Drosophila melanogaster: one gene and its partners. The protein of the gene in region 1 interacts with the protein of each later gene in a pairwise test. Each region holds a gene or a part of one and is shown in the gene's direction. Other genes may lie near its edges. The genes, in order: CG12521, spaw, CG6733 and lig.

Region 1 (5,437 bases):
CACTCGAAAAAAAAAAACGCAAAATAAAAGTAAAATGCAGCAGAAGCAATGCGTGCACTCGAATAGAACGACACGCATTTCCATAAAAATAAACCGGAAATAAAAGAAAAATTCTACAAAAATACATTTTGTTTTTCATTCCTATTTTGGGCTGGTTGTGTGCAATTTATAAGCGTGTGAATACATTAAAACAGATTCAACTTTTTGAGGTATTCTACCAGTCATGAACGTAATTTTGTTAGGTCAGAATTTAATGAAATTAAATATGTAATTAATTTCGCAATATCAAATAACAGTCTTACCATGTATTCTAACCATATACTATCTTTTATGCTCAAGCGATCAAAACCTTTGGATACTTTAGTTTTTATAAGTACTTGCATGTAAATGGAATGAAGACTAAGTTCCGGAATGTCGACCTCAGCTTAGCTATACCAGTAGTACAAACACACGCGAGTCCTTATACAATCGCAGAGTCTGGGGAACATAAAAAACGTTAAGTGGTCGTAAATCAAAATTGTTCAAGAATGGGAAAGTTCGCAAAGTTCCTCTTGCCTTTACTACTTTGCGACAACACGGAGTCCTTTTGCCAATTCGGTCTTATTGTTCTCTTCCCTGGTATTTATTTTCAGATACTCTTAGGCCAAAAAAAAGGAACTCCCAAAGGATCCGGAAATTGGCGACGAGAAGCAGCGTCCTTGCTGTGGGCAACTGCCAATCCAATTTCGTGCATTTGCAGTCCATTGAGTTTCGCTTAAATTTTAATGAAACTAAGCGCCCACCATACAAATAGGAAGCGACACCACCAAGTTTTAATATTCTTGGTTTTTTTTTTAAATTTTTTTATTTTTTTGCTTTTTGTTTAAAAGGTTCTGTTTTGATTGCTTCTGCTTGGCTGTGGACCCCAATCCGCTGGGCTTTTGTTCAATTTGTACAGTTTTCGAAGTCTTAATAGAGTCACTAATTGTTCTGCACAGACATGGTGGTTGGTGGATGAAGCTTGGCTCTTTCAGAAGTCCCACGAGAATGCACGAGTATTGTCTGCGAAAAATGCTTAGAATGGAAGTTATGGGTTAGAATGTGGCATTAATAAGGAAGCCACCTCATTTACCGGTTAAATTAGACTGCAAAATAAAATTTAATTTGTTTATTTAATTCGCTATAATCGAAAATGGTTGTGGTTTTTCGGTCTGCAATGCTAGTTGATTTATTTTAACTCTAATATTTAGATGAAATATTTGCAGCAGCTCTAAGAAGTAAAGTCAAGGGCTCGTAACTTTTGGACATCATCATAACTGCGTTAACGGTTACATTGGCCATTAAAAGTAATTGCCCAATTTCACGGCGTAAACAGCCACGACAATCCATCCACTGGCAGTTGGGAGGCTGTTAAAAGAGAATGGACGTCCCCCAGGCGAAAATTAAGAACTGACCGTTAAGGAGACGAGCACGGCCTGGCATCGCATTCTCATTAACACGCCAGTCCGGTTTCAATTTCCTGTTTCATTTTTCTGTTCATTATAAATGGCTCTCAACATGGCCGGCCAGTCAGTTGAGCCGCCAACTCCGGACCGCAGAAGCAAAAAGCCATAAAGAATGTGCCACGACAACTGCGACAAGTTGATGGACAAAATAATGCCTGATGACATTTATAATGAGCGGAATTTTTTGTTGATTTTCGCCCCTGTTGTTAGTGTTGCAGTTGATAAGTGGAAACTCGCTTCATGTGACCGAAATTTGCGCTACATAGCAGCATAAAATGTGTGCTCTAAATATACCCCAACACCCAACATTCTCAGTCGTTTTATTAAGTATTAATATTAGCATTAGTAGAAGCTTAAATCGTAGATAAAGTATCTGATCCGAATGGAACGCTTCCTTTACAAGGTCAAAGGTGAAGGTTTATTTAAAATGAAATGATAATACTGAATCTGCTTTTTGTACATGAAGAGTTCTCCCTAGATAGATATGATTAATTAGATATATTCGTTTTTTCACGGTAGCTCAACACGTTAAAAATCGAGTTCACTAATTTTAACGAAATTTATATGGCTCAATAGATTTTTTTATGTATTTTTGATGTTTGATCCTTACACCATTTGAATCTGTGATGGGCACAAATGATGAGTCCCAGTCATCTTTCTTCTCTTCTTATCTGCCGTATTCATAAGAAGATGTCGTTCTTACCGCCTTATTGTCTGTGTACCCATTATGGTTTAAATTATATATATTATATATATATATATATATACAGATATATACAGATTCTAGAGACATAGACGCAGCGCTATTTTTTTGACCCATATAGCCACGCCCAAACTTTTGTCAAATTTTTCCCTCATATTATTATTTTTTTTACCGATATCACAAAACATATTACAATTTTTCGTTCACAGTCCCAGCTGAGTAACGGTTATCTAATAGTCTCGTTTTCTTATTATCAACTGAGCAAGTCTCCGACTTGCGAGTAATTTGCATACGAAATTTACATATCTGCAGTCCCCACCCACAACGCCATGAACCATCCTATTCCGGCGTATTGATGTATCGCAACCAAAAATGCAGCACAGCATGGGTGTCGAAGGCAGCAACAAAGGGTGAAACAGAATGGACGGTGACCAACTGACAAGTGACACTTTTCCAATTGAAATTCCCCCTCACCCAGCAACTGCACAACTCCACTGGAAAAACCCGACAAGCAGTGTGCATACATATACGTACATACAATACATACATATGTACATTCAAAGTAGTCCACGATGGTCATGTCAGCCGAGATGTCATAAATTTGCACGGGCACAAAGATCGAATATTCCAAATTGAGCTCTGGCGTTTTGTATTTTGTTTTTTTGAAATTTTCAAATACTGCCGGCTAAGGAAGCACAATGGATGGCTGCCACAACGACATCTTGGCGCCCCTCATCCTGGCCATTATGGTGGCCAATGGACACCCGCTCACCCTGGACGAGATCGTCGATGAACTGACGGCGGTGATCAATTCGCAAACCGAGCTCGCCATTGCGCATGAAAATATTGGAGACGGAAAACATAGCCACAAGTCGTATAAGCCGAGACGAAGGCACTAAGGATCTTAACATGCGTTATGTGCCAAATTTAAAATGCAATAACTTATTCGAGATTTGAGTGAATTTAATCTCTTGAACTATAATTTATAATAAACTGATCGTGTCGGCGGCGACACTTATTTCCGTCCGTGAGTGAAATAGTTATTTAATAAATTTCGAAACAAATGTGCTTAAAAGTGATTAAATACACATTGTACATTATTTCAAGACGGACATATGAAAACTATGCACATGTATGTTGTTTTAAGCTCAAATATCATTAGGGGAAAAGTAAATATTCATAACTGAAAAGAAAATACTTGCTACAGATTGACAATTTATCATTTATTTTAAAGCTACGAGTATTTTTTCATCCTGTTCATTGCCCTCAAGCATCTCAAATTACTGGCTGTAGCAAAGCAACTCTGCATACATTTTTCTGCCTTGATGGGATGTACATATGTATGTATGTACGTACATATATTTTCGTAGGTGGTGGTGCGCGAAGCAGCAGCACGTGTGCAAAATCTACGGACAGAGCGAGTTAAAAGTTTTTCAGCGTCGCGAAAAATTGTTTATGTTTCGCCTTAAAAGGAGCAGGGAAAAATTTCGAATATGTAAAGATGTGTGTGGATTGCTGGAGAAACTACGACTACCACCGGCATAGCGCCCACGAGGATGTGAGTGCGGCGAAGGAAAAACACTTTTCCTGCCGCGGATCCGTGAAGTTGGGGAAATTGTCAGCACCTGTAACCGGGATGGGATGTTAACTTTGGGTAAAGAATCCCACACGTACGACCGTTCGCCTAATAATCACGTGCCGTGAAAGCTCATTAAATTCAGAGGTGAAAAGCAGCCTCGTCCCCTCTTCTGTTGCCATTTTATAACCACATAAATGTGCATATGTACATACATCAAGATGTACATACATGCATATATCCTCTGGCAGGTAGATGAAATCTGCGAGGCTCGATTACATTTTATTCTCATCGCCAGTGAATTTCACTGAGATACATTTAATTTTTAATCTGAGTGTGTAGATTCGTATTTAGAATTTCGGCGAGCTTATAAACAGTACATTTGTTTATATCGATTTGATTTACTTATAGGAAATCTTGGCCAGCGTATCCCGAAACCTTTGCCGAGACTAGTCCAGACTTTCAAGATGTCCACGGAACGGATAAGATCGATAGCCTGGACTTTGCGAACCGAGTGTTATTTGATGTGTGTCCCAAGATGCGACCACCGCTGAAGCAAAGTGGCAGGGATCAGATGTGACGTCTGGTTTTCCATGGCGGTGTAAATTGTAATACCAATAGCAATTTACTATACAAGATAGAGTATCTCTTCTAAACTTGAATATAATAAAAATAGAAATTGGCTTAAAATATGCTATTCCTAAATAGATTTCATTGTCGAACCAAAGCCTAGTTAAGATATAAACCCTATAAAATTGAATGTGCTTGTTTTATGTATATCAAACATGGGTGCACGTATATATGTGCCCCAGTCAACCACATAAAGTGTTAAATTTTGTAATTTCCGGTGTATTTTTGAAGGTGTCAATGGCGCATTAATTTCAAGTGTTCAACAATATATGACACTCGAGGCGATACCGCCGTGCAATCCAAAGCAGCCCGTAAACTTTTATGATCCCAGCCTCGTTTATATCATCGCCGGGAAGTTAAGCCCACTCCGATGCCAAAATGAGGGTAGGTTATGAAATAAAAGGGCGAAGGCGGATGACAAGTTCGCAGTTCATAAAACGGCAGACGGGCTGCGACAACAAAGCAAATTGGTGGACAACCAGGACATGGGACTCCAGTTCGCTTGCAGGATGTCCTCTTCTTCGCATGAGCGAGTACGCTCGACCGCAGATTCGTCGCTTCTGCTGCGGGCGTTCATTTTTACGGTCATCGGGTCACTAGTAAAAATAATCTTATGACCTCCCATCTGTCCTTCCGAGTGCTTTGGACTGTCAGCTGCAGCTTCCTTTCAGATTTTTTTCTGTTGAAAAAACTTTATGATTCTTCCATATTATTGAATAGTAAGCACGTATTTATGCATTTAAATATGGCAAGGAAATATACGAATGCAAACCTAATAAACCCAAGTTAAAATTTCTATCATACGCGTTATATCATGATATTGTACTGAATAAAAATATAACTTGGAATTAAAAGATACATCGAATATACGTACACTTGGTATCTATGTATATGTATATGTGCTGGATGCAAACCACCTGCACCCACATGCTCGTCAAATGTTTCACGGATTCAAGGATGATGGGATGCTGGAACCCCCATTCGCCGACCAAGAAAAGACAAGGTATGTACATATCTAAGTATACATTTGGATAGGGATTGATG
Region 2 (7,835 bases), on another chromosome or scaffold:
CGGCTATTGAAAAGCACCTCTTCCAGATGAGTATCTTTTGCAAGTCCGTCAGGGCTCCCTGTTGTAAAGTAGGTCGACGTCCGCCCAAATGCACCAAGCCGCGGAGGCCATCCGAATGCTGCAAGAAGTTCACTCCGATGCCTAGTTTTTCGGAGGCCTGCCGCCATCTGATACCACGATTCTGTGGCTCCGAGTGTGCCTGTCGTGGAGGGAGCTTATGTGAAATGTGGAACACGTATAATATGTGCAACAAGTCGCGCAGGAACTGCACCAAGCCGTTAATAGGGTATTCTCCGTTACGATCCAGGATGCGATTTCCATTTTGAGAGATTCCTAAGTGTGCAGTCGTCTGATTTATTTAGAGGTTCTTCAACAAAGAGTATGCGGAAGTAACCTAACCAGTGACCTAGTTTTCCCGGCCTAGTAACTCACAAGTTCGACAGCTTTCGAAAAATCATTAGGCCAAATCAAAATTCTCAAAATTTTAAGCATGCAGTCAGCACTGTGGATCTTTTGCAGACAAGGTTTCAGGAGCTTTGCCACTAAAGCGCAAGGTTTCAGAAGCTTCGCCAGCAAAGTGACCTACCACGCGGATCCGCCATGCCAACCTGTCGACCCTTTGTGCCATCATGTTCCAAGCGGCAGATGCGTGCAGGCCAGGGAAACGATCAATCTCAAACTGCCACATGAGAGGTTATTGAAGCAAGAACGCGATCAGAAGAAGGAGAGGAAATGCTGTGTCCTGCGATCGGCGGCCAAAAATCCCTGCGTAGAGATAAGACGACCCAAAGCCGCAAAGCTGGAGGAGAAGCCATTCCGTTCGATGTGGGAGCCACCTTGCAAGGCGAACGAGCAGCCGTTCTGCAAGGAAATGCTGCCCCGCTTCGATGCGATGTACTACCATCCCTCAAACAAGTGCCGCTGCTACCAACGCACCTGGGTGGAGTGTTCACCCGTTAAGAAACGGCTGAAGAAGGTTTGCTGCCTGGACGCCATCGAACCTCCTGAGATTCTGTACCGGATCAGGCCGCCCTGCCCAGGAACTTGCCAAATCAACTATAAGGCTCGAAGGCTACTCTGTGCGGATGGAGAATGGGAGCGGGACCCAACGAGGAAGTGTCCGAAATTCTTTCACCCCTGTTGCAAGCTGGCTCGCTGCAATCCTCGTTGCTCCAGAGGCAGAAAGCCTACCCTATGCACCAAGTTGCGAGCTCCATATCCTTGTTACTCAGAAAAAATAAGAGGAACAAGACCGCTCCGAAAAAGAGAGTGCCTTTGCTTGGAGACCACCCCGAAATGTATAGCTCTTGCGGAAAGAATGAGACGCGATGGATTAAATCTGTGATAATCCTACCGAAACACGTAAAAGTGCAAGTTGAGGGTCTGGCTTTTAAAACGAAGTAATAGATACAAAGTGATGTTTCTATTAATTTGCTTTAGCAGTCAGGTATCCGATCCTAACAAAAAACCATGGAAATTACTTAATAATAACAATTTGGCATACAAAATTTATAATTGAATTTATGAGTTGTAATAAAACATATAATAAAAATTCATTAAATTTATTTTTATGCTTTTTTTTGGATTTTTAGTATTTTACATCAAGGTCACCCACGCCATTGCAGTCATCTATAAAATGAATCGATTATTTCGGAGTCACCCATTTTTTAATCAAGCAACAGGCTTCCAAATCGAACGTTTCCATTTAGATACTACCCAACCCATCTCTCACGCAGACCGAAGCATTCAGGGAAACTAAGCAGCAGAAGAAGCCAGCGAGAACTGGTGAGGATCTGAGATGGGTACCTCTGTATTGGCCACGATGTGTGCTGAGCGCCTGACCAAGCTCCTCGTCCGCTACTCCCGTGCTCAGCCTCCCGTGGGGCGGAATCAGTCCCACTGCGTCGATAATGTGCTAAGTCCTTTGCCAAGGAGCGAAGCAACTACCGCCTTCCTGAAGCCAATGAACAATGCTGGCCAGGACCATCCCCCATCGAAGTCGGCCAACAAGTGGCAGCCGATGGGTACCATCACGAGCATCGGACAGAGATTCCAGCGTGAGGCCATGGATGAGATTTGTGCCAGGGCCAAGGACCGCCTGCTGCCAAAGACCGAACCTCGACGCTTGAACTTCTCTAGAAATCACGCTTTCTTCCCCAACAAATCGAGAGGCCTTGAAGATTGGAAGAAACCGGAGGGTGGGCGGTACTCAGCTCCATTTGTCAGCCTATTCCAGGCTCCGAACTGTCCTAGTCTGCCTAAGAAGTCGTTTTCTCATCCGCTTGCCTTCGATCGTCAAAAACTGTATCGAGACTGCTATTAACCAGAAAAAAATGAAAGTTTTCGATCCTGATGCCAAACTCATACGCAGACCAATTACTCCACGCTCATTTTAGCGTAGTGATTGGGTTGCACTTGCGATTGGCATCAGGGGTCCAAGATTCTCCACAATTAGCCGTATTAAAGATGTAATGTGTAAAGCAATAGTCTTTTTAATCATTGGCCTATATACGGAGTGAAGTCTGGTAATGAATACTGTAGAATGTATTTAGCAGCTTAATTTTGTAGACCAAACTACGGTCTTCCGAATAAGAAGCACACATAGAAATTGACTGAAAATGTTAGGTGACAACCCCATATGAGAAACCCCATATTCAACTCTTAACCCCATACTTTTTCATTCGTTTCGGCAACACTTCCTCTACGAGAAGGAACTCAAATTTAAGTTCACCAGCCATGCTCAACTCTTTGGCCAAGAGAATTGTGCTTATGCCCAGCCTTATAGCACTGGAGGATACTTGTCGAACTATTCACGTTACCGCCCTAATGGCGAGGATGGGAAAGGATTTCTGTCCCGTGAGTGAGGTTCCCGACTGCAAAGTGGTGAAGAAGCGACCGTGCAGTCCCACGGATCCACCTGTTCGTCCTTGCAGCGAGGAGGGCTGCACCCAGCCGCGATACTCATGTTGCGTGAGTACCGGCATTTCGGCGAATCCATGCGCTGATCCAAGCAAGAAGACCAAGTTCGTTTCGATGTGGAAGAGATACAAGGATGATGGTAGTAATCGGCCAGAAGCTATGTGGCACTACCCGGAGGAGTGCTGTCCAAAGTGTGAGGATACGCGATTTGACGTTTTGTACTATACACCGTCGGACAAGTGCCGGGAGTTCCAGCGCACCTGGTGGGAATGCTGTCCAAAAATGGTACCGAAGCGGGTCTGCTGCTGGTGCGACGCCATTCCACCGGAGGTCCTGCGGCGAGATTTGCCCATCTGCCCGCGATCCGCTTGTCTCGCAGAACATGAGAGGAAGCGCTATAAGTGCCTAAACAAAAGGTACAAAGGTTGCATGCGTATCCGTATGCCGTGTTGTCGAACCGCTCGAATACCGCCCGACTGCAGGGCATTCCCCGGTCCTTCCGATTGCGAGAAGATCAAGTGCCCGTTCCCGAGTTACTCCGAATGCGTTCAGGAGGATCCCGCTGTTATCCCAACCCGGCCACCAGAGTGTGAGTGCTTGAAAAAGGCGTCTCAGTGCGAGCAGATCCGACGAGGACGGCACATGGAAAACAACGACATAAGCATCTGGCCGTGTACTTCCAGGGGAAGATGAAGACCGTATCCCAGGGTTATAGTAACTGGGGTCTTCGCTGGAATTTTTGTAACACAAAATGTAACAAAAATTCCAACAGAGACCAAAGTCCTGAACGGCAAGCCCTTCACCAGAAATCATAAACCTTTATAAACTCTTTTTATATTTATGATTTCTGGTGGTGTTGGGTATCCCTGTGGAATCCCCATCCCAGCAACCCAACTGAAAATCTGTCAGTTGAGGTACATCTAATATCTCATTCAATTGGCATCCGGCACCCTGTTTAAAATTCAAAATTCTAGGCCTCGTTCAAAATTAAAACATGCCTCGCCTCTCGGTTTTCTGCGGATTATCGCGTAGAATCATCTGCTCCAGCACTGCTCACCGAAACCTTTGGCGACTGTTGTCCGACAGTTCGGAGTCGACCATTATCCCACACGTTTCGGACAAAACGGAAAGTGTGAAGAAATTCAAAAAGGAAACGCAGGTGGATCACACAAGTCACCTATTTGTATGGCCGGAGGCGAAGGACGAAAACGTTCATCATGTGAAAGAGAACAAAGAGGATAGCAATGACGATATAACTGCATCCTGGGGCTGGAAAAATGACGAGCTTGACGTGGAGCAATTGGCAGGACTACCAAGTCCTAATGAGGTGGAGGATCCATACCGGCAGCCAAACAATGAATCTCAGGATGATCAGTTGCCATTCGCTGAAGGAGACCAATCAGGAATTCAAGAAGAATTACAATTCGCAAGAACGCGCTCCCTGCGAGAACAGCTTGTCAAGAATCAGGCGTCCCAAGAACCTTTTACCAGCTTTGAGAAAACATCTCTCACATCCGTTCGAAGGAATGTGGACTTCATGATGCAAGAGCTTAGTCAGATTTCACTTATTTTGAATACTATGGGAGGAGGTGAAAAAACAATGGGGATGGTTAACTCTGAACCGGATGTGGCTTCCTTTGCACTCAACCAACCCAAAATCAGTGAAAGTTTGAATCATGAGGAGGAATCAAATCAGTCAGTGGATAGAGCTAGTTCCCATCAATCTGAGCTAGGTGTTGCAGATTCTATGCATTCGGAGGTAGCCAGTGCGCTCTCAGAACCATCTGGATTGGGTGATGTAGAGAGCCTAGATCATAGCGAGATTTCGAACCAGTCTTTTGATTCCGAACTAACGAGGGATATCACCGATCAACTTAAATTGGATCACGAGATGGAAGCAAATCAGTCTTTGGATTCTGAGTTAACCGGTGAAATAACTAATCAATCTAGTTCGGTAGTTTCAGAGTCTTCGATTTCCGATGAGGACTTCGGGGAGGAGCTAATAAAACAATCTCACAAAATCGAGCAAATTGCGTCTGCTGGCGATACTCAAGAGTCCAGTCCTTCAAAAACCAATGAGAATACTCCCAAGACTGATGACACGCAGGACACTCAGCCTAAGGAAACCATACACACCTACAGGCCCTTTAGGACTATCGAAGTTCCTGCCAAGAAGCCTACTAGTAGCCTTAGCACCGAGTCAATTGAAGAGCAGCCGTTGAACCAGGAACCCCAATTCGGCACAGGTATCCATTTAGATAGAGAACGGTACAAAGTTTCTGCTCAGCTGACCGAGTCCGAGTCCCGCTTACTTATGCGCATGGCTCTGAAGCAGGCTTTAATCGATCTGGAGTCTGGCCAAAGCAAGTACAAAGCAACAATTCTGGAGGCTGAAACCGAGTAATACAAGAGCACCAATGACCAAAGAAATAAACATAACCTTTAAAACTTATTTTTTATTTTTATCCTTGTTCTTATCTTTCTTCTTATCCGTGCCCTTATCCTTCTTATCCTTTTTCATCTTCTTGAGCATGTCTTTTCTCGCCTTCTTGGCCTTTTTTATGGCACTGGGACAGACGTGGTTCTCACCATGAATTTTGACCCACTGACGACCCCGCTCCGCTTCGCAGAGGCTCAGGGGGAATCGGCACTCGCACTCGCGAGGTCGATATGGTCGCTTGGCCAGCTTAGGCTGCTTACAATCCGACCAGCAGGGCATCGGTGCACACAACCTGCGGCAGCAGGAGGGCGTCTTGGCCGCGTGGCATCTGGGCGGACGACGTCCTGGCACGCATCGTGCCAACGGAGCGAAATGGGGACATGGTCCTGTGGCTGTGGCACTGAGCGTTGTCCGCTCGCGCCGCTCGGCCACCCGACGGGCGGGGCTCAGAGCCTCCAGCTTGTCGTAGGCGCAGATTATCTTCTTGCGGATCATGAACTTGGGGCACTCCACCCAGTGGCGCTGGTAAGGACCGTTCTTGCAGGAGGGACGGTAATACAGCTCGTCGAATGAGGGCAGTGGTTTGGTGCAGTTGGGTTCGCAGCACAAGTCATTTGATCGGCTGACCACGAAGGGGTACGGCGGAGGCAGGTTCTTCGGCGGATCCCACATCGACTTGAACTTATCCCCTTCGGCGCAGAAGGCGGCCGGAATGCAGTGCGTCCGGATCTTGCATTCTCGTTTGGCAGAAGGAGACTTTGGTGGAGATGGTGACGATGGTGGCTTCGGTGGACTTGGAGGTTTTGGGGGTTTATTCGAGGAGCCGCTCTGACGTGAGCTGAAGCCCCTTAGTAGGGAGGACCAAAACATTAGCCGAAACTTTTAATGAAAGTGGAATTTTGAAAATTTTTGTATACCGTAACGCCGTTACATGAATCGCTAAATTAAAATTTTTTGCTTGGTATCCGAAATTTCGATCGAGGCCTACTGGACGAAAAAGAGCTGGTTGAAAATTGGAGAAAATCGGAAGAGGGTCCTGTCGCACACATTCACTTCTCCTGCAACTCAACTTCAATGCAACGGCGACAGGCAACACAAAATTGCAAACAGCGGACTGCGCATGTTTAAATTTAATTGAACATTTAGCCAAATTAAAATGCATTTTATTACGCAGCCGCTGTTTCTGGCCTGGAAATGCAAAACAACGCGCGCCCAATCAGCCAGGCCAAGTCAAGTAAATCCAGCGGAGTTGGCCATACGCGCAGATAGACGGAGGAAAAGGCAGGCCACACTGGAAGAAATACAATAAACATATCCAGAATTCGCATATCTACTCAGTTCAGATAATCAACTCGAGATAAATCCATCCACGATGATAAACAAACAGTAACAAGAGTATTGAATGTATACTATTCGTCCGTATTGGTTGCAATTTTTTCCAGTGTAAAGACACAGGCACGGCCAAATCGAAAGACGCTGACTGGGCCTAGGCACGCAACGGTTATTCAGTTTTGTCGGTTTTTCGATTTGGCCTTAAGTTGGCTAGGCAGTGCCTATGCGAAATTTGGCACAGATTCGCGGCAGATTCGATGCTATTCGGCTGGGATCGGATCGGATTTTGGATTGGACCGAGGCGGAACTGCGAGTTGCAAACTGGTTGGAGACAGGCCTAGCAAGCATGCGTTCTGCAATTGTTTAATAGCCTAATTAAGTGTGCGAGCGAACAGGTTGGCCAGGCCGGGAAAGTCGGAAAATCAGAGAATCGGAAAAGTCGGGCATATGCAAAGCCAAAGGAGCAGAGCGACTGTCATGCTTCACCAAGAGAGATGTGATGTGAAGTGATGTGACGGGACAGTGACTGCCATGCGGGTGGTTTGTCAGCTGCTAATGCCAGTCTGTCTTTATTTTCCTCTTTCTATTTTTTACTCCTTGTTCTGGCTTGCAATTACATTTGGCTGTTAATTGCATTATGCATATTTATGGTAGCTCTCCGGCTGCAGCTCCTCCCCCGGCAATCGAGTTAGGTCCGGAGCAGGATCAGGAGGCAGAGATGAGCAAGGAGCAAGGGAAGCAGACGGATCCGGCGACAATGCCGGCTCATTAGCATACATCAGCGCGTTAAGCTCGGAGCGAGTGTCTGACTGAGTTACGACCAGCTTTCCACTGTCTGCAGCTGCCGTCATCATCACCATCGCCATCGCCATCGCCATCGCCATCGCCATCATCATCTTCCTCGTAGTCATCGTCATCCAGTGAGTGGCTTAGTGGGTGTTGCCCTCTAATTTAAATTAAAATATGAAAAATACTCAACGAGTGAAAAGGGGTTTGGTTGCGAACAAAAACATCACGCTGCGAAAACTGAGAAACGTGCAGAAAAATCAAATCTAAAATAGCTGCTGGACATGGCATAATCAAATTGTGCGCACTGGGAGAGTAGGGAAAATCATATTTGCCAGGAGATTGTTGTCGCTGTGTG
Region 3 (6,419 bases), on another chromosome or scaffold:
GTGACCACTTTGAACCTGACCCAACTCAACGGTGGCGTCCAAAGCAATGTGGTTCCCCCCGTACTAGAAGCCACTTTTGATATTCGCATAGCCATCAACCAGAATGCCGATGCAATGGAGAATCAGATTCGCGAGTGGTGCAACGAAGTCGGTGGTGGAGTGGAACTGGATTTCACGCTGAAGTGCCCCTCGGTGGTGACCAAGATAGACGACTCCAATCCCTACTGGCTGGGCTTCAAAAAGGGACTAGATGAACTGTAGGTAAACAAAGATTGTGTAGTTTTCACTTCATAATTTGTTGAAATTTTCCAGAGGTTTGATCACCCATACACGAGTTTTCCCCGGCGCCACCGATAGCTTCTACGTCCGGCAAGTGGGAATTCCCGCTCTGGGATTTTCACCCATCAACAACACCCCGGTGCTGCTGCACAATCATGATGAATATTTGCGGGCCGACACATATCTGCACGGAATTCAGGTGTACAGGAAGCTCATCCCCTCTATTGCTGATTCATAAAATGTTCAAGCGAAGTTCCACTCATAAATGGAAATCAATATGCTACAATTGGTCTTATCGCTTATGAGTAATGTTTTTGGCTCGATGAGTGTAGGACCAAAATTAAATGTTTAAATGGTGTGACTACTACAAATCATATCTGTTTCTAAACAAATGAAAATCACACACTGATAACACGAGTTTCAGAAGAGAGTTTTTGTCATGGACTTTGCCCTCATTCAATATCCAATAAATCGTCACAACTATTGATATCGTTCTCAAAAACTAACGTAACCTTCACGTAAAGGGGTTGTATTTTATATATACATCATAATTATCAATAATTACATTAATATGTATTCTATTTTCTTATCAAACCAAATACAAATTATAATAACCCATTTTTTCGCAGACCATAAACGACGGTGGTTGAGTTTTATTGGTGTTATGTGAACTTTATCGAATTGGCTACCGTTTGCTATTAGACATTTGTTTTGGTAGAATTTTGTACAAGAATATGTGCTGTTATCATTTCTATAACAACCGAGTTTGATAACGAACTCATTATTTGATAATAATACGAAGCCAAGGCCATAAAACCAAAATCACCCAACACACAAAAATTTCTGTATAAGTTCATTTTTTGCCAACTGCGGCACATTCGAGTTTGGTGACTGGCAGCGAAAACATATCCACAAAATGAGCACCGAAAAGTGGGAGGACAACGAGGAAATCAAAATATTCCGCGAATATTTGCGCATAGCTACGGTGCAGCCAAATGTGGATTACAGTAAGGATTCCCCAAGGAATTCACAGAAGAGCACTACTCATGTACATCTTAACTTCTAGCCGAATGTGTGGAGTTCCTGAAAAGGCAGGCTCACAGCCTGGATCTTCCCGTGGATGTTATATATCCAGTGGAGAAGAAGCCTGTGGTGATCATCAAGTGGTTGGGCACCGAACCGGAGCTGCCCTCCGTCATTCTCAACTCGCACATGGATGTGGTGCCGGTGTTCCGTGACAAGTGGACCCACGATCCCTTCGCTGCCGATATCGATGAGGAGGGCAGGATCTTTGCGCGCGGTACTCAGGACATGAAGTCGGTGGGCACAGGATATCTGGGTGCCATCCGCCTGCTTAAGGCAAGTGGTGTCCAGCCCAAGCGCAATTTCTTCGTGACCTTTGTGCCCGATGAGGAGATCGGCGGCGAGCTGGGCATGCAGGAGTTCGTCAAAACGGAATACTACAGCAACATGAATGTTGGTTTCAGTCTGGACGAGGGCGGCACCAGTGAAATAGATCTGTTCTATGTCTTTTATGCCGAACGTATGCGATGGGGTGAGTAATCCTTGAGACACATCTAGGACTAGAATCTAAACTATATCCCCTCTTTGGCAGGTCTCAAGCTGAATTTCAGTGGAACCTCTGGACACGGCTCCATGTTGCTGCCCAGCACTGCCGGCGTGAAACTGAACTATGTGCTCAACAAGCTGACGGAGTTCCGCGAATCGCAGGTTCAGAGGCTGGCCAATGATCAGACAATCAACATCGGTGATGTGACAACTATCAATCTCACCCAGCTGAGCGGTGGAGTCCAGAGCAATGTGGTGCCTCCTCATTTCGAGGCTGTCTTCGACATGCGTCTGTCCATCACCCTGGATGTGGTTGCCTTTGAGAAACAGATCCACGATTGGTGCGAGGAGGCAGGTGGCGGCATCGAGATCTCCTTCGACGAGAAGGAACCCTACGTGGCACCCACAAAGATCGACGACTCCAATCCATTCTGGCTGGCTTTCAAGGCTGCCACCGATGAACTGTAAGTCTGAATCGAATGCTCAACAATGCGTGTTCCTAATACGATTTGTATGTTTATAGTGGCCTTAAGATCTACCCCATTGTCTGCCCCGGTGCCACCGACAGCAGGAACATTCGAGCTCAGGGCATTCCAGCCTTGGGATTCTCACCCATCAAAAATACCACCATGCGCATCCATGATCACGATGAGTTCTTGGGCGCCGAAACTTATTTGAAGGGCATTCAAATATACAAGAAAATTTTGGGCAACCTAGCGAATGTCTAAAAACTAAATCGAAATAATACATGAAAACCTTATCAAAATAAAGATTGATGATTTTGTTATAAGTTAGTACAAAACTTCCTGGCCTTTTATCTTATCTCAACGAATACCTTAATCAACTTAAGATCTGAAGAATACAACTTGCTATCCTTGCGACAGCAAGTAGATAATGGATGTATCTACATTTTGCTGTATCATCATAGATAGCAAGTTGGAAGACTGGGAAGCCCATTAAATCCAAAATAATCACTTGATTTTTTCAAATCGAAGGTCATCAATCAAAGCTTCGTCATTTTAATTGAATTTGTCATAATTTTACGATATGATGGAAAATATTGAAAAATACATGACAACTTACCAAGAACTTGAGGTTTCAAAGGTTGAGGTTGCATAGATAATACGCAATGAACTCATTTCTGTGTAAGTTGCATAGATAATACATAATGAACTATTTGCCGCTTAGAAAAGTTACTTATTCGGATAATAGACGTGTGGGTTTTGCAGATAAGGGCGTTACTATCGCAACCACATACACTTTTGATAAGCATTTAAATTCCTTGACCATAAACATGAAAGCAATCAGTGTGATTATAAAAGCACAGACAATCTTTGTTGCAGCTCAGTTGCTGATGACAGAAGAGTGTCGAAATGAGCTCGGAAAAGTGGGAAAACAATGAGGAAATTAAGATTTTCCGGGAATACTTGCGTATACCAACGGTGCATCCAGATGTTGACTATAGTGAGGACTTAATTTTAATTCTTTAAAGTTTGCGTTATAATGTCTTTCAATGTCTAGCTGCCTGTGTGGAGTTCCTGAAACGTCAGGCTAGCTCCCTAAATCTTCCTGTTGAAGTGGTTTATCCTGCTGTTCAAACGAAGCCCGTTGTGATCATCAAGTGGGAAGGAAGTCAACCCGAACTATCGTCCATTGTTCTCAACTCTCACACGGATGTGGTGCCAGTTTTTCGAGAGAAGTGGACCCATGAACCCTTCTCCGCCGATATTGATGAAGAGGGTAGGATCTTTGCACGGGGTACTCAGGACATGAAATCGGTGGGCACTCAGTATCTAGGAGCGATTCGCCTGCTGAAAGCTAGTGGCTTCAAACCAAAAAGGAATTTGTATGTGACCTTTGTTCCCGACGAAGAGACTGGTGGTCATCTGGGCATGGCGGAGTTTGTTAAGACGGATTACTACAAGAAAATGAACGCGGGATTCAGCCTGGACGAAGGCGCCACTAGTGAAAGTGACGTTCATCATTTGTTCTACGCCGAACGTTTGCGATGGGGTAAGTTCCATAAGGATGATGATGATGGATTGGGGACATTACCGTTTCGCTTTATGCAGGACTCAAGCTGAAAGTCAGTGGAACTTCTGGTCATGGTTCCCTTTTGCTACCCAATACGGCAGGAGTAAAACTGAACTATCTGGTCAACAAACTGACTGAATTCCGCACCTCGCAAGTGGAGAACCTTGCGAGAGATTCCAGCCTCAGCAAGGGCGATGTGACCACCGTGAATCTCACCCAGTTAAGTGGCGGAGTCCAGAGCAATGTGGTTCCGCCACTTTTCGAGGCGGTCTTCGACATACGGATTGCCATTACTGTGAATGTGGTTGCCTTTGAGAAACAGATTCGCGATTGGTGCGAGGAGGCGGGTGGTGGCATTGAAATTGATTTCTTCCAGAAGGAGCCTTATATAGGACCCACCAAGCTGGACAATTCCAATCCCTACTGGCTAGCTGTCAAAGCCGCAATCGATGAGCTGTAAGTACCGACTAAAAATTAACTATAATGGCTAATCGAAATCCTCCTGTGTTTTAGTGGATTGAAGGTTCATCCCATCGTTTGTCCTGGCGCCACTGACAGTCGTTTCATTCGGGAGAAGGGTACCCCAGCCATTGGATTCTCACCCATTATAAACACCACCATGCGGATCCATGACCACGACGAGTTTCTGCAGGCTGATGTGTATCTTAATGGCATTGATGTGTACAAGAAGATTATTCGCAATCTGGCTGAAGTCTAAACAAAATGTTTGAACTACATGGATCGTGGCTATAATAAAGATGGGCTAATTACTAAAGTGTGCCTCGTATCTTCATTTTAGAGAGTAATCTTATCAAAAAAAAAAAAAGATTCAAGAGTTTAATTTGAAATTCCGTGTTTATCTCAATATTGTTTGTTGATTCTTTGACTTTCGCCTCCTTGATCAAGATATAAATGATTCTGATGGGAATTCTGTAGCAGATTGTCAACTATACTGCTTCTTGTCACTACCTCGACTGCCATCCAAAGTGACTTGCAATATAGTCAGAATTGGAAGAGATCTGCCGCCCATTGATAACGATTTTCTTATCATATACGCATAATCACTTTTGTGGCACGATCCAAATGCATATAAAGACAGCGGATGCCTTTAGCTGCTTATTTCTACTTTACCATCCTAACGATTCATATTAAAAATGAGTGCCGAAAAATGGGAAAAGAACGAGGAAATTCGAATATTCCGGGAGTATTTGCGAATTCCATCTGTACACCCTAATATTGATTATAGTAAGGTCCTTATTTTAATATTTCCTTAAATGCATTAGCACTATTCATTTTTAGCTGCTTGTGTGGAGTTTATTAAGCGGCAGGCAGATTCCCTCAATCTGCCCGTGGAAGTAGTTTTTCCAGCTGTTAAATCAAAACCTGTGGTGATCATTAAATGGGAAGGAAGCCAGCCAAAGTTGCCCTCAATCATTTTAAGCTCGCACATGGACGTGGTTCCTGTATTCCCGGAAATGTGGACCCATGAACCCTTCTCCGCCGACATCGACGAGGAGGGTAGGATCTTTGCACGAGGTGCTCAGGACATGAAATCGGTGGGCACTCAGTATCTAGGAGCTATACGCCTGCTGAGGGCTGATGGCTTTCAGCCGAAAAGGACGCTCTATGTAACCTTTGTTCCTGACGAGGAGATTGGAGGCATCCATGGCATGGCAGCGTTCGTTGAAACTGACTTTTACAAACAAATGAATGTGGGATTCAGCTTGGACGAGGGTGGAACTAGTGCTTCTGATGTTCATCACTTGTTCTACGCCGAGCGTATACGATGGAGTGAGTAGCCCGTTCAGCTTTCACATCAGTTGATTGAACTTCCCATTATTCAGTTCTCAAATTGAAAGTTGCTGGAACCGCCGGTCATGGTTCTCTATTGTTGCCCGATACAGCCGGAGTTAAGTTGAACTATGTGTTGAACAAGCTGACGGAGTTCCGTGAATCGCAAATCCAGCGACTGAAAAACGACAAAAGCCTGAGCATCGGGGATGTGACCACGGTGAATCTCACCCAGTTGAGTGGCGGAGTGCAGAGCAATGTGGTTCCACCGCTTTTTGAGGCCATTTTCGACATACGTCTAGCCATAACCCTGGATTTGGTTGCATTTGAGCGGGAAATTCGAAATTGGTGCGAGGAGGCAGGTGGAGGCATTGACATCGAGTTCCCACTGAAAGAGGCCTATGTGGCGGCCACCAGGCTGGATGATTCAAACCCCTATTGGTTAGCTTTGAAAGTCGCTCTGGATGAACTGTGAGTATACGTCAGATACAATAGAGAATCTTTAATAATGTATCCTTTTTCAGGGGTCTTAAAGTTAAGCCGATAGTGTGTTTTGCAGTCACCGATTGTCGTTTTATTCGCCAGCAGGGAACCCCAGCAATTGGTTTCTCACCCATCATAAACACTACAGTACTAATCCATGACCATGATGAATTTTTAAGGGCTGATGATTATTTGAATGGCATACAAGTTTACAAGAAGATTATTCCTAATCTCACTGAAGTCTAGCCAATGTCTTCTCTCTG
Region 4 (10,700 bases), on another chromosome or scaffold:
AGTTTGATGCACTATAAAAAAGGAACCATCGCGGTCTTCAAGCATAAAAATATCCCATGCAAATATAATTTAGTTATTTAGAATGACTAGTAATTATAAACTAAATTGACCCATTAGCTTATAAGCCAGGATAGTTTTTTTTACGCCAAATTATAAATAGCAACACCTAATTTAGTAAACGAAATGAATGCTTTAAATCTGCACAAAGCTATACTTAACTCACCAAAAATAGTTTCGTTAATATATTTGTATGAGATGACTGACTGCTGACTGAGAGCTCACCGTCGCAGTTGTAAGCCATGAGAATATCGTAGTTGAACATCTTTGACAAATTGTTTTTCAGCGGTTCTATTCGACCTTCTGGCCTCAGGATGCGGTGAATAATATGAGCCTGGAAAACAAAAAGATCAAGTTTGTAATACCCCAATAATCAGGCTTACGTTTTGTGCTATTGCCCGGCTTTGAAAGATTCGCATCCAGATTGGAAAGCTCGTCGGGATCATACACGGGAAAATAGTCCAGTTCCACCTTGCAAAAGTCATTTTGGTTTTTTAGGATCTTTTCAAGCTTATTTTTGCAGCTCCTCCATTGCATCTTTCAATATCTCGACGTCGTCGTCACTCGAATATTTGGGGCATTGGTGTGTGCTCATTGCTCGCCTGGGTAAATATACTTAATGTTTTGTCATCAAATGCAATATTTTGTCCATAGTTTGGTAAATGAACTGATTTTGTTTGTTTTTTTTTTCAAAAGTAGTATGTTTTGTTGATGATAGAGGTGTGCAAATGCCAACAACTTTTCATTTGGTATCGATATACCACTTGATTTAATACGAGTTCAAAACCTTTTAACAAGGAGCATACAACATATTTAAGATCGAAATCAGCTTCTAATAGGTAAGCTGCTTATATTAGCTAATGGAAAATTGGATAAATTAGCTTTTTGAAGCCTTTTAATAATGGTATAGAAATGTTATCAATTTAAAAATTAGTAAAACTGATTCGTGGCACCGCTAGATTTCTGAGTCCAGGGCTGCATGCCCAGATAAAGCCATATCGATCGACTAACGAGCGGTCACATTAAAAGTGCGTTTCTCGGCGCATTTGCAGGTATTGAGTGTGACTCCGTTTTGAAAATTTGTTTATCCAATTTAAAGCCGTGACCGGAACCCTGCTGAGGTGTTAAAGTTTAGTTTAAGTGTCCCCCCACCTGTGCAACGTGTTTTCGACATGTCTCCCGGGGGCTTGTCAGCGAAAAACTCGGTTGAAAATTCAATAGTGGCCGCTGTCTGGAGCGGCGGTCGTCGTCAATTACTGGGTCCCTTGGTTTACATAAGAGCGAAAGAGTCGGCTAGTGTGGCGTTGCAGAAATGGCGTCGAAGTATGTGCACATGGCTGGGTCTATTAAGGCTATATATCCCGTTTGCCCCGCAATGTGCAACTGGGAGTGCGTTATCCTTGCCGGGTATGTCACATATTGGACAAATTTCGCCAACAACGAATCGTACATTTCGCTTATTTCGGCGCAGTGTACGCCACTTTGTCCGGTTTTGCATTCCACTTTGTGCGCTTCATTCGGTTTCAATGCCCTCGCATTCAGTGTTGCCAAGTGCCGGAGCGTACCTAGTGATGTGTGCCATCCGAGTCCTGCCGTGAATTTGTGCGTTTGTGCAGATATTGTAGCTAACGCTGTTTGCCCTCTCTAGGACCTGCTACCTCGTTAACGAATCCAATCATTGTGCTCCGATTGTTGGTTAATTTAACGGCCTTGCCAAGTGCCGCTGCGCTTTGTTCGCACCTGGCAACACTGGTCAGCCCGCGCTGGTGCGGGTGCGAGGGAGATGCCGCTAGGACAGATGCAGAAAAGCGAGCACAAAAGCGAAAGCGAAAAACCGAAGCGAAGAGGCCAAGGAGTTTATAAATCAATTTTTGTGTATGTCAGTCACCGCGATTCCCATTGCAATTGGTATTGAGTAGTTTCCGGGTCTCGGATCGCAGTTCCCCAGTTCCCGTGGTCAAATTTCCATATCATGGTGTACGTGCGAAATGCGAAACCTGATGGAAAAGTGATGGCGACAGCGGTCTTTTGTTTGTGTGCGGCAGTACGCGCGTGTGTCTGTGTATGAATAATGCATGGAAAGGCGTTATTCACGGCAAACGTTGATAAAACTGTTTTGACAACAAAAATTGAGTGATTCAGATATGCACTTGGTATCGGGGTCGCCTCTCCCGCTCTCTTTCCCATGAACCACCCCCCCTGGAAATGCCAACTGACGTTTCGGCTTGGATGCGTCGTGGTCACGTACCCCGCCACCCCCTCGGCAATCATTCTGTTACCTGTTTTGCCAATACACTTTTCACCCCCCTCATTATTTTTGTTATTTCTGAATGCTCGCTTTGTTTGTGCGTACGATCTTCCCTTCCTCTCGCACTTCTTTGCTTCGGCGTGTGTCTGTTTGTTCACGTTCTTTCATTCTCTTTTATTAAATGTACATTGAACTCTCATCTTGCCAACTTTTCCTTTGCTGCTCTCTTTCGGCCACTTGTTTAGCCATTTTAACACATTCCCAGATAAAAGCTGTCTGGATTGTGGGAGTTTACCATTAATATTTCCACGCCGACGAATCAAGATTTAGATCTTAACCATTCATTATTCTCTATCCAACAAAAAATTTATGTAAATGCGCTGTAAATTCCAATTGAATTTCTGCTATATTATAGTTGAATATCAACTAACAGAAGCGAACCAGGCGGCTAACTTTCTAAATCAGCAACACCAAAAATCATTACTTATTACTCTCTACTTATTTGCATTGATCTTTAGATATTACTATTTTACTTATAGAACATTAAGTAAACCCAGAGAGTCCCATACTCAGAATCCAGTCAGCACAGACTTAAATTTTTATCAGTCAGTTTGTAGATTCCCTGGTTTTAAGATCGAATCCTTCATCTTTTTCGTATTGCAGCTAATTTGTATATACAGTGTACATAGAGATGAGCACACAAACTCGTTCAGGCGGCGGGGGAGGCGGCGGCCATGCCCGCAACCAGAAAAAGTCAAATGCCAGCAACTCCGGCGGAGGAGGAACCGGCCATCACGATGGAGTCTCACATGCTGCGGCCGCTGGCAAGAAGGGAGGCCAGGATGCCAGCAAGACAGACAAGCCAGAGAAGGCCCAGCCCAAGGCTACCACCGAACAGTTGCGCATTGCCCAGATCACCAATAGCACCACAGAGGATCCGCAGATCAACGAGAAGGTTCTCCTTCTTTTGACCATGACCCAACGTTCCGAGGAGGAGGTCTGCTGTGCCCTCAACGAGTGCGATTACGACCTGGAGGCCGCGGCCAACTTCTTGATCGAGGAGCTACCGCAGGTTAGTTTCGATTCTAATCTCCCGCGCTCCAGTTATTCAATTGAATCTGTTTTAGGGCGCCTTTGCCAAGTACGAGAAAAAGCGCAAGAACAAGGCTGCAAATAACACGGCTGATGGTGCTGCTGGCGATGGCGATTGGGCCGATGGCAATGGCAATGCGGACAGGCGGGAAAAGTCGCGAAACCGCAGCTCAAATCGCGGAGGCACCCGTGGCTCCAGTGACAGTCGTGGATGTAAGTATCATAAGCCACGCTCATTTACTAAAACGTTTCTTAGGGCATTACTAAACGTTTTGGATCTTTAAGCTCTGCATTACAGTTATTGTAAAACTGCTAAAAATAACGTTTCTTTTTATGTAGAACATATATAAAAATTAAGATCGTTAAATATTCCAATGCTGATTGACATTTAAGGTTCAGCATTTGTTGGTCATGCGCGAGCTGTAATTAGAGAAAATATTAAATTGATGAAATAATTTTAGTAAATGATATTTATCCTAATCCTCTGAACATAAATTAATATTTGATTTCTAATATTGTAGGGCGCGGAAGAGAGACTCGTGAGAATGAGCGCAACCAGCGCGAATCTCGCGAACCTTGGTCCGGGCAAAACGCTGGTCAGGACCGCGGTGACGATCGGGCAAATGACAACTACCGCGGGCAGCGCAACGGCGGCGGACGCAGTGGTCCCGGTGGCGGTGGACGCGGTGGTGGCTTTGTCTCTCGCTCTGGCCGTGGCGGCGGCCGCATGGGGGGACGCACCGGTGGACCGCGTGGCGATCGCGGCAGCGGAGGCCCTGGTGGTGCTTATGGATCAGGTCGCGGTGGCAATGCAAACGAGGATCACCACGAGGTTGAGCTGTGGGACAACACCATTGCCCAAAATGCCGAGAAGCAGCAACAGGCTCATGACGATGCCTGGGGCGACTGGAACAACGAGGAGTACGAGGGCTCGCTCAAGGACAGCAAGGTGTTCACCACTAGCAACCTGGCAACGCAATCCGCTGCCAACGTGGTTAGCGGAACTGGCGCGAGTGTTACAGCTGTTCCTGCGGCGGCTGGAACCGAGATATCGGCGCCACCGGGCCTTGAACATCAGTTGGTGCAGCAGGGATCTCATCTGGAGGAGAGCTCCAGCAGCGGCCCAGCGGCGGTCACACCGCCAGCAACGCTGAGCGGCTCGGCGACCACGCCGCTGCTGCAATACAGCGCAGCGGTCAGTAATCCACCGCCCCAGCTGCAGTCCCAGGGCACACAGTCAGGAGCGGGTACAGGAGCGAGCGCAGCTGCCGGCGGAGGAGCAGGCAGCACACCGTCATCCTTTGTATCCGCCTCTCCCGACACATTCTCAAGCGCCGCCTCGGCAGCTGCCACGCTGGTGCATCAAGCACAAAAGCAGCAGCAACTTCAGCAGCAGACGACGCCTATCAAGCCGTCGGCTACTTTGTCGGTCGAGCAATCTCAGTATTTCAACTCGTTGGCCAGCCAGGGCGTCAGCCCAGGTTCTGTTCCAGTGCAATCGGCGCCAGCGGGTTACGCGCAAAACCCCGTGGCCGCCTACTCCCAAACTAGCACTAGCGTGGGTGTGAGCCAGTACCCCAATACCTATGCCAACGTATTCGCTTCTGGAACGGCAGCTGGAGCTGGCACTGCCGAGCAATCGCAGCAGCAACCGCAGATACGGAGGGCACGTGTTAAGCTGCCACCACCCTCGAAGATTCCTGCGAGTGCCGTCGAAATGCCCGGAGACAATGCACTGAACAACATTGGCTACCTGGACGTGCAGTTCGGCGCTCTGGACTTCGGCACGGACGATGGCTTCGAGCCATTGCCGGAGAAGGTTGGTTCGGGCTTTAGCATTGATGGTCAGCAGCAGCAACAGCAGCCAGATGACTACCAGAGCAAGTCCCAGCAACAGCAGCAGGTGACGCTAGCGGCAGGTCTACAGAGTTCGCAGATTGTAAGTACCGTACTGTATCCTTTGAATCACCCAAGTAATCATCGTCACCATGATTTAGTTAATACGATAGTTTTTAGCATAGTGCATATATTACTGAGAATCTAATAGCATTCCTCATTTATAGAGCGATGCCTTAAATGCAGCGGGCTATACAAGCCGTTCGACGTCACAGCAGCAGCAGGGCGTTAGCTCAGCGGTGAATGCCACAATCGATCAGCTGACCAAGAGCGATCCCTACGGACAGACGGGCGGCAGTGGTAACGCCTACCAAAACGCGTACCAGAGCAGTGGAGCGAGTAAGACAGCCAGTGGCTTTCCGACGACCGCGCCCGGTGGCTACAGCAGCTCCACATACGCGAATGTGCAAAGCTCAGTAGCCAACAGTTACCAGCAGCAGGGATACGGCTCATACCAGCCCAGTTCCTACCAGCAGCAGGCTGGCAGCGGGGCTCAAAGCGGTACAGGTGCGGTAAGCGGAGGCGGAGGAACGGCGACGCAAAACATTCCGGTTGGAGGCAGCAGCAGCCAAAATAGCACGAGGTATGACATGATCCAGTATTGATTGTTTAATATTTAATTCCAAAGGGTACGTACCCTTGCAGAGATTCGTAGTTACATATTTCTTAAATTTAAAAATTATTTCTAAGCAACAAGTCGATTTGGCAAGGAACAACTAACTATACTCAGCAAGGGTACAAACCTTATCGAATATATCTTTTACTTCAAAGTTTAAATATTTGTGTGTATGCAAGTTTTGCTTAACAATTAGCCCCACCCGAAAGAGAGCTAATCTTCATTTTGTTTACTGTTTTTCTTCTCTCCTAACACATTTAATGCTCGCTTATGTCCCAAAAATCCCAAACCGCAATCGCGCTCCGCACCTAACAGCGGCAATGCGAGCTCTGCCTACCTCACATCCGGATATTCGACACCACAAAGTGCTTACCAGTCAAGCCAGAGTGTTTATGGCAACACTGGACTGTCCAACAGCAGCGGGTAAGTACCAAATGTGACGATCCCAATCCCAATACGATCAGTTCCCTGGGGATGACACGTACCTTATTTTGCTTGTTTGGACTGGTTCTGGTTCCATTATGCTTAATTGCGGCTTCTCGCCCGTTCGTTCAGGTTCTCTGGCAGTGCGAGCAACGCGTCCTCGCAGTACGCCAATTTCAGTGCCAGCGCCAAGCTAAAGGATGCGACCACGGCCAGTAGCGCCGCTCATTACGACAGGTAAGAGCGAAACCCCCGCTCTGCATGCCCCGCTTTTTCAAATATTCCGACTAACCCAACCCCCTGGTCATATCCCACTTAGAGGCGGATGCCTGTAGCACTTAATGTTGATCTTATTGACCTTTCAGTGTCTCAACCAGCAGCGGAGTGAGCAGCAACAGCGGAAGCACAGGCAATGGCGGTGTGGTGAGCGGTCAAACAGGTGCTAACCAGGCGGCTGTATCGAACAGTAAGTAATCGATGATTTAATATCAAACAGTTGAGGCCCTAAAGAGTATGCATTGCAGTCATTAAGCTTTCTGGTATAGAAATCCCATATCAAAAATATTTAAAAACAAACTCACAATGTCAAATCTACTTCAATCTAGCCACGGCTTTGACAATACAACTCTCCAAAATAAATATAATTTTTGATTCAAACTTTTTGTTTAGCTGAAATGCTCTATTTTTGGCCGAATTCTTAGTATTCGCATTTAAACTAAAACCTTTCCGTCCTCTCCAGATAACAGCGTGAGCGGCAGCAGCTCGGTCAGCAATGTGACGGCAGGCGTTGCGAGTGGCAACGTAGCTGGCGTGGGCGGAGGCGTAAGCCAGAGCGGCGTAAGTAGTGGAGTCGGCGTGCCCGGTGGCAGCGCGTCCAGCGTCGGTGTGAATGTGAACAACAACAGCAGCAGCGCCAGCTCGGTGGGAGCAGCGACCGTTGCCCAGACAGCCACGGGAACCACCGCTGCAGTGCTGGCCTCGCTGACCAACAAGAACACCAGCAGCAGCAATAGCAGCGGCAGCGGTGGCAGTGCTGCCACGACGACGGGCAACGCCAGCGGACAAGGTGCGGGAGCAAGCACCGGCGGCGTGGGCAGCTCGTCGGGTGCTGGTGGTGCTGGTAGTGGTGGTGGCAGCGGTAGCGGCTTGGTGCCCACCAACATCCAAATGGTTAGTCAATATATTCAGACTGGATTGCCATACTATCAGCAACCAGTGTATTCCTACGAGGAATTGCAAATGATGCAACAGAGAGTGCCACATGTGGTGAGTTCATGGAGAAAAGCAAAAGCAAATATCAAACCAACAACTACATAATGCAACCGACCAATCAACCGAACCGTTTCTAATCAAACAGTAATCGTATCAATATGCTCCCATTATACAACGTTTTCGCATTAGTCAAGACCTAGTTCCATTTAAAATTTAAACGCATACGACAACTGCTCAGCGCATCCCAGCTCGCCTCCCGCTGCTGATCGAAATCGTTAATCCGGATCCTGGCTCGTTGACGTTGCGGCCTCCCACTCCTAACCGTTTCTCAGCGTGCATTGTACATAATAACATACATATACCGCGATGTCTGTGATCAAGTCCTTATTATACCACCTCCTAAAAGTCTGTGTCTGTTTGAATATGTATGTGTGTGTGTGATTGTGTAAAAAGCTGACACTTTCCTTCGCCACCCTGCACCATCCGCTTCCGTTTTCATCCAGTTCCACATTCCTGGCATTATCACAAAAAAAAAAAGATAAACAATCCACATGTATTGCTTACCTCCCAGGCTCTGCTTTACACTCAAAATTAACCAAAAACTAATCCGAACGTTCTTCCTCGTTTCCATCTACAATGTAGTTGTGGAATTAGGGATGCAAAGCCAATTCAAATCGAAGAAATATAACCTTAAAATATAAATATATATATACTTGAATTACTTTGCATCCCTAACTACAACGAAATCTGTGCTCCTTACTGACCCATTTCATTCGATCACTAACATTTTACCCTTTTTTTTTTCTTCAACCTAACATCTGACTAATGTATAAATTTCTTACATTGAACATAACGTATTTCATTTTGTTGAAACTGGTACACGTGGTTTTGTCAGACCTTTATCACATATTTATTTTGTTTCGGTAAGAAGTTCTGACAAAGTGATCCGTTCATCATCTTCACAGCCATAACACGCCCAGAATGCTCGCGTGAAGACGAACCTAATGCTATAATTCTCAATTGCAGCAGGGATATTACGATCTGAACTATCCGCCGGCCAGTTTAGGAGCTGGACGTGACAACCTCGGCTCTGTGACGTATTCTGCTATGAATGATGGACGCTTTGCCCGCACTGACAATAACTCCAGTCCGGTCGGCAATGTATGTGCTCAGCTTAGATAGATAGATCGATAGATGGTAAAAATGTTTATTTTGCAGGTCTCCAGCACAATGTCGCAACAGGCTGGCTCAAGTGCGCCCATGCTAAATGTTCCTTACGCCTACTTCTATGGTGGCAATGTAATGCCCGGTAGTTTTCAATATGGCACGCCCGCCATATATCCAGTAAGCCTATTACATTCAAATCACTTTGTATGCAGTATCTAATCAACGTCTAAACTTATTCAATTTCAGCAAATACCGGCAGCAAACACTGCCTCCGGTCAACAGTTCCCGAAGCCTTCGTATAGCGCGGGCTACGGCTCGACCAGCTATGACACTCTGTCGCAGACCACGCAGGACTACAGCAAGGGCGGCTACTCGTCGAGCGTGAATCAGCAGAGCAAAACTCAGACTGTGTCCAACCAGTCGCAGGCAGGCACTGGATCCGATCTGACCTCTTCTATGTACGGAAAAGGACACGTGGCGCTGAACAAGGTTAATGTACGTATGGTTATAAGCAGGGCTGTGGATTTGGATGCAGGTCATCATAGCCTGAATTCGATGTTAAAAGACTTCAATTATCTTTGAGCAAAAAACAATACAACAATAAGATTTCACAGCCCTGGTTAAAACACCTTATCTCCCGACGTGTCTACATTGTACCATTGTATTTTTCGTTATTCAGTCGTACGAGAAGCAGAGTTTCCATTCGGGCACTCCGCCCCCGTTTAACATGCCCAACACTCAGACGGCTGGAGGCACCTCTGCCCAACCGTACGGCATGTACTTGCCGATGCCAGCGGCCGGACACCACAATATGATCCATCAGCCCATCCACCAGGTACATTCAGAATTACCACTTCAGGTTGTTGTAGGCGGAGGGACGGAAAGTCATGTTCTCATTCATGGGAATGTGAACGGTCCTCAAGTTACATACCACCGGATCTGGCAAACCGAACCTGTCCAGTGTCAGAATCAGCTCGTTGCCGCTCATTGCAATAACTTTGAACCTAATATCGACTGCTGTGTTCATGACAATAACAACGACTTGTCCTTCTTCGCCGACTGATGAAATGCTTAGGGAACTCATCTTGTTATTGTTAACACATCAATTTTATTTTCACCAATTGTGTAGCTGCACACCCGCCAATACATTGTACACTTGTTGACTGTGATTACATATAGGTTTATGTCCTTAAATAAGCTTATACCTACACTAATCCTGGATAATCACACTTACCAGTTTTTTTTTTGCCCTGTAGCTATGGAGTTGATTTGTTGAACCGCATGTATTTGTAAATTGTTTCCATTATCAACACTAACCGCCAAGCATATATTTGTAAGTCCTCTATTACCTATCTACGCACATCATCTGTAAAACAAACACCCAAAGTATTTTATGTGTGACAATCATTAAACCTTTTCTTTTTCACCTGGGATCGTTACTAACAAATAACATTTCATGCATTTTCTGATACTTTGAAATTGATTTGGAGCATCAGCAGAAGTACGAGTAAAGAGTGTCCTTGGAAAGTTTGTTGGCTTAATTCATACGACGGTAGTGAGGCATATAATTGAGAAATGCATGAAACTGTTCTATTGTTTGACTTTTCTTTATAATTTCTTTTAATTTTTTATGGGACAACTATTAGATGGACGGCAGGATTCATAGCTCATCCCGCCGGGTAAGTTCCTTTGTTGTAATCACGTGTAAAGTTGCTTAATTCTTGGTGAACTGCATAATTTTAACCCTCCCACGCATGTCTCATACCCATGTAATCTGTCGCATCGAAAGAATATGTTACGTATCATCTAGTCTCTAGTTGCATGTTTACCACAGAAGCGGCGACCAATAAAAGATGTCGATTGCCGAAAACGGGTCGTGCCGCACCGCCATAATCAGATGCATATCCATATTCATGTGCCTTTACTATAATATAATACTGCCGTGTATATAATCAGCGAATATGTGTATATAAAACTGTTAACCCACAT

Evidence for each region.
Region 2: the proteins of CG12521 (region 1) and spaw interact in a two-hybrid assay, tested with the Drosophila melanogaster proteins (one large-scale study listed by BioGRID).
Region 3: the proteins of CG12521 (region 1) and CG6733 interact in a two-hybrid assay, tested with the Drosophila melanogaster proteins (one large-scale study listed by BioGRID).
Region 4: the proteins of CG12521 (region 1) and lig interact in a two-hybrid assay, tested with the Drosophila melanogaster proteins (one large-scale study listed by BioGRID).

Annotation. Positions count from the first base shown.
Region 1 is NT_037436.4:11,845,163-11,850,599, reverse strand, and holds CG12521 (uncharacterized protein), read left to right. Parts: upstream 1-2,796; 5' UTR 2,797-2,885; coding exon 2,886-3,086; 3' UTR 3,087-3,217; downstream 3,218-5,437.
Region 2 is NT_033778.4:8,357,001-8,364,835, reverse strand, and holds spaw (spacewatch), read left to right. Parts: upstream 1-2,679; 5' UTR 2,680-2,736; coding exon of another isoform or gene 2,737-3,612; 5' UTR 3,613-3,913; coding exon 3,914-5,323; 3' UTR 5,324-5,368; downstream 5,369-7,835. Other genes in the region: cola (comas sola), read left to right, coding at 1-326; swif (swift-tuttle), read left to right, coding at 491-1,345; whip (whipple), read left to right, coding at 1,823-2,323; hubl (hug-bell), read left to right, coding at 2,737-3,612; CG11635 (uncharacterized protein), read right to left, coding at 5,369-6,229.
Region 3 is NT_033777.3:23,094,538-23,100,956, forward strand, and holds CG6733 (uncharacterized protein), read left to right. Parts: upstream 1-3,190; 5' UTR 3,191-3,221; coding exon 3,222-3,312; intron 3,313-3,369; coding exon 3,370-3,861; intron 3,862-3,920; coding exon 3,921-4,338; intron 4,339-4,395; coding exon 4,396-4,600; 3' UTR 4,601-4,654; downstream 4,655-6,419. Other genes in the region: CG17110 (uncharacterized protein), read left to right, coding at 1-257, 313-517; CG17109 (uncharacterized protein), read left to right, coding at 1,196-1,286, 1,346-1,834, 1,895-2,312, 2,372-2,576; CG6738 (uncharacterized protein), read left to right, coding at 5,037-5,127, 5,182-5,673, 5,727-6,144, 6,198-6,402.
Region 4 is NT_033778.4:8,066,903-8,077,602, forward strand, and holds lig (lingerer), read left to right. Parts: upstream 1-2,926; 5' UTR 2,927-2,996; coding exon 2,997-3,377; intron 3,378-3,432; coding exon 3,433-3,610; intron 3,611-3,918; coding exon 3,919-5,336; intron 5,337-5,460; coding exon 5,461-5,876; intron 5,877-6,224; coding exon 6,225-6,332; intron 6,333-6,464; coding exon 6,465-6,569; intron 6,570-6,697; coding exon 6,698-6,798; intron 6,799-7,071; coding exon 7,072-7,598; intron 7,599-8,509; coding exon of another isoform or gene 8,510-8,515; exon of another isoform or gene 8,516-8,570; coding exon 8,571-8,705; intron 8,706-8,762; coding exon 8,763-8,888; intron 8,889-8,957; coding exon 8,958-9,206; intron 9,207-9,390; coding exon 9,391-9,774; 3' UTR 9,775-10,140; downstream 10,141-10,700. Other genes in the region: CG17977 (uncharacterized protein), read right to left, coding at 224-391, 441-542. UniProt on the Drosophila melanogaster protein: Acts in the nervous system to mediate the control of copulatory organs during courtship.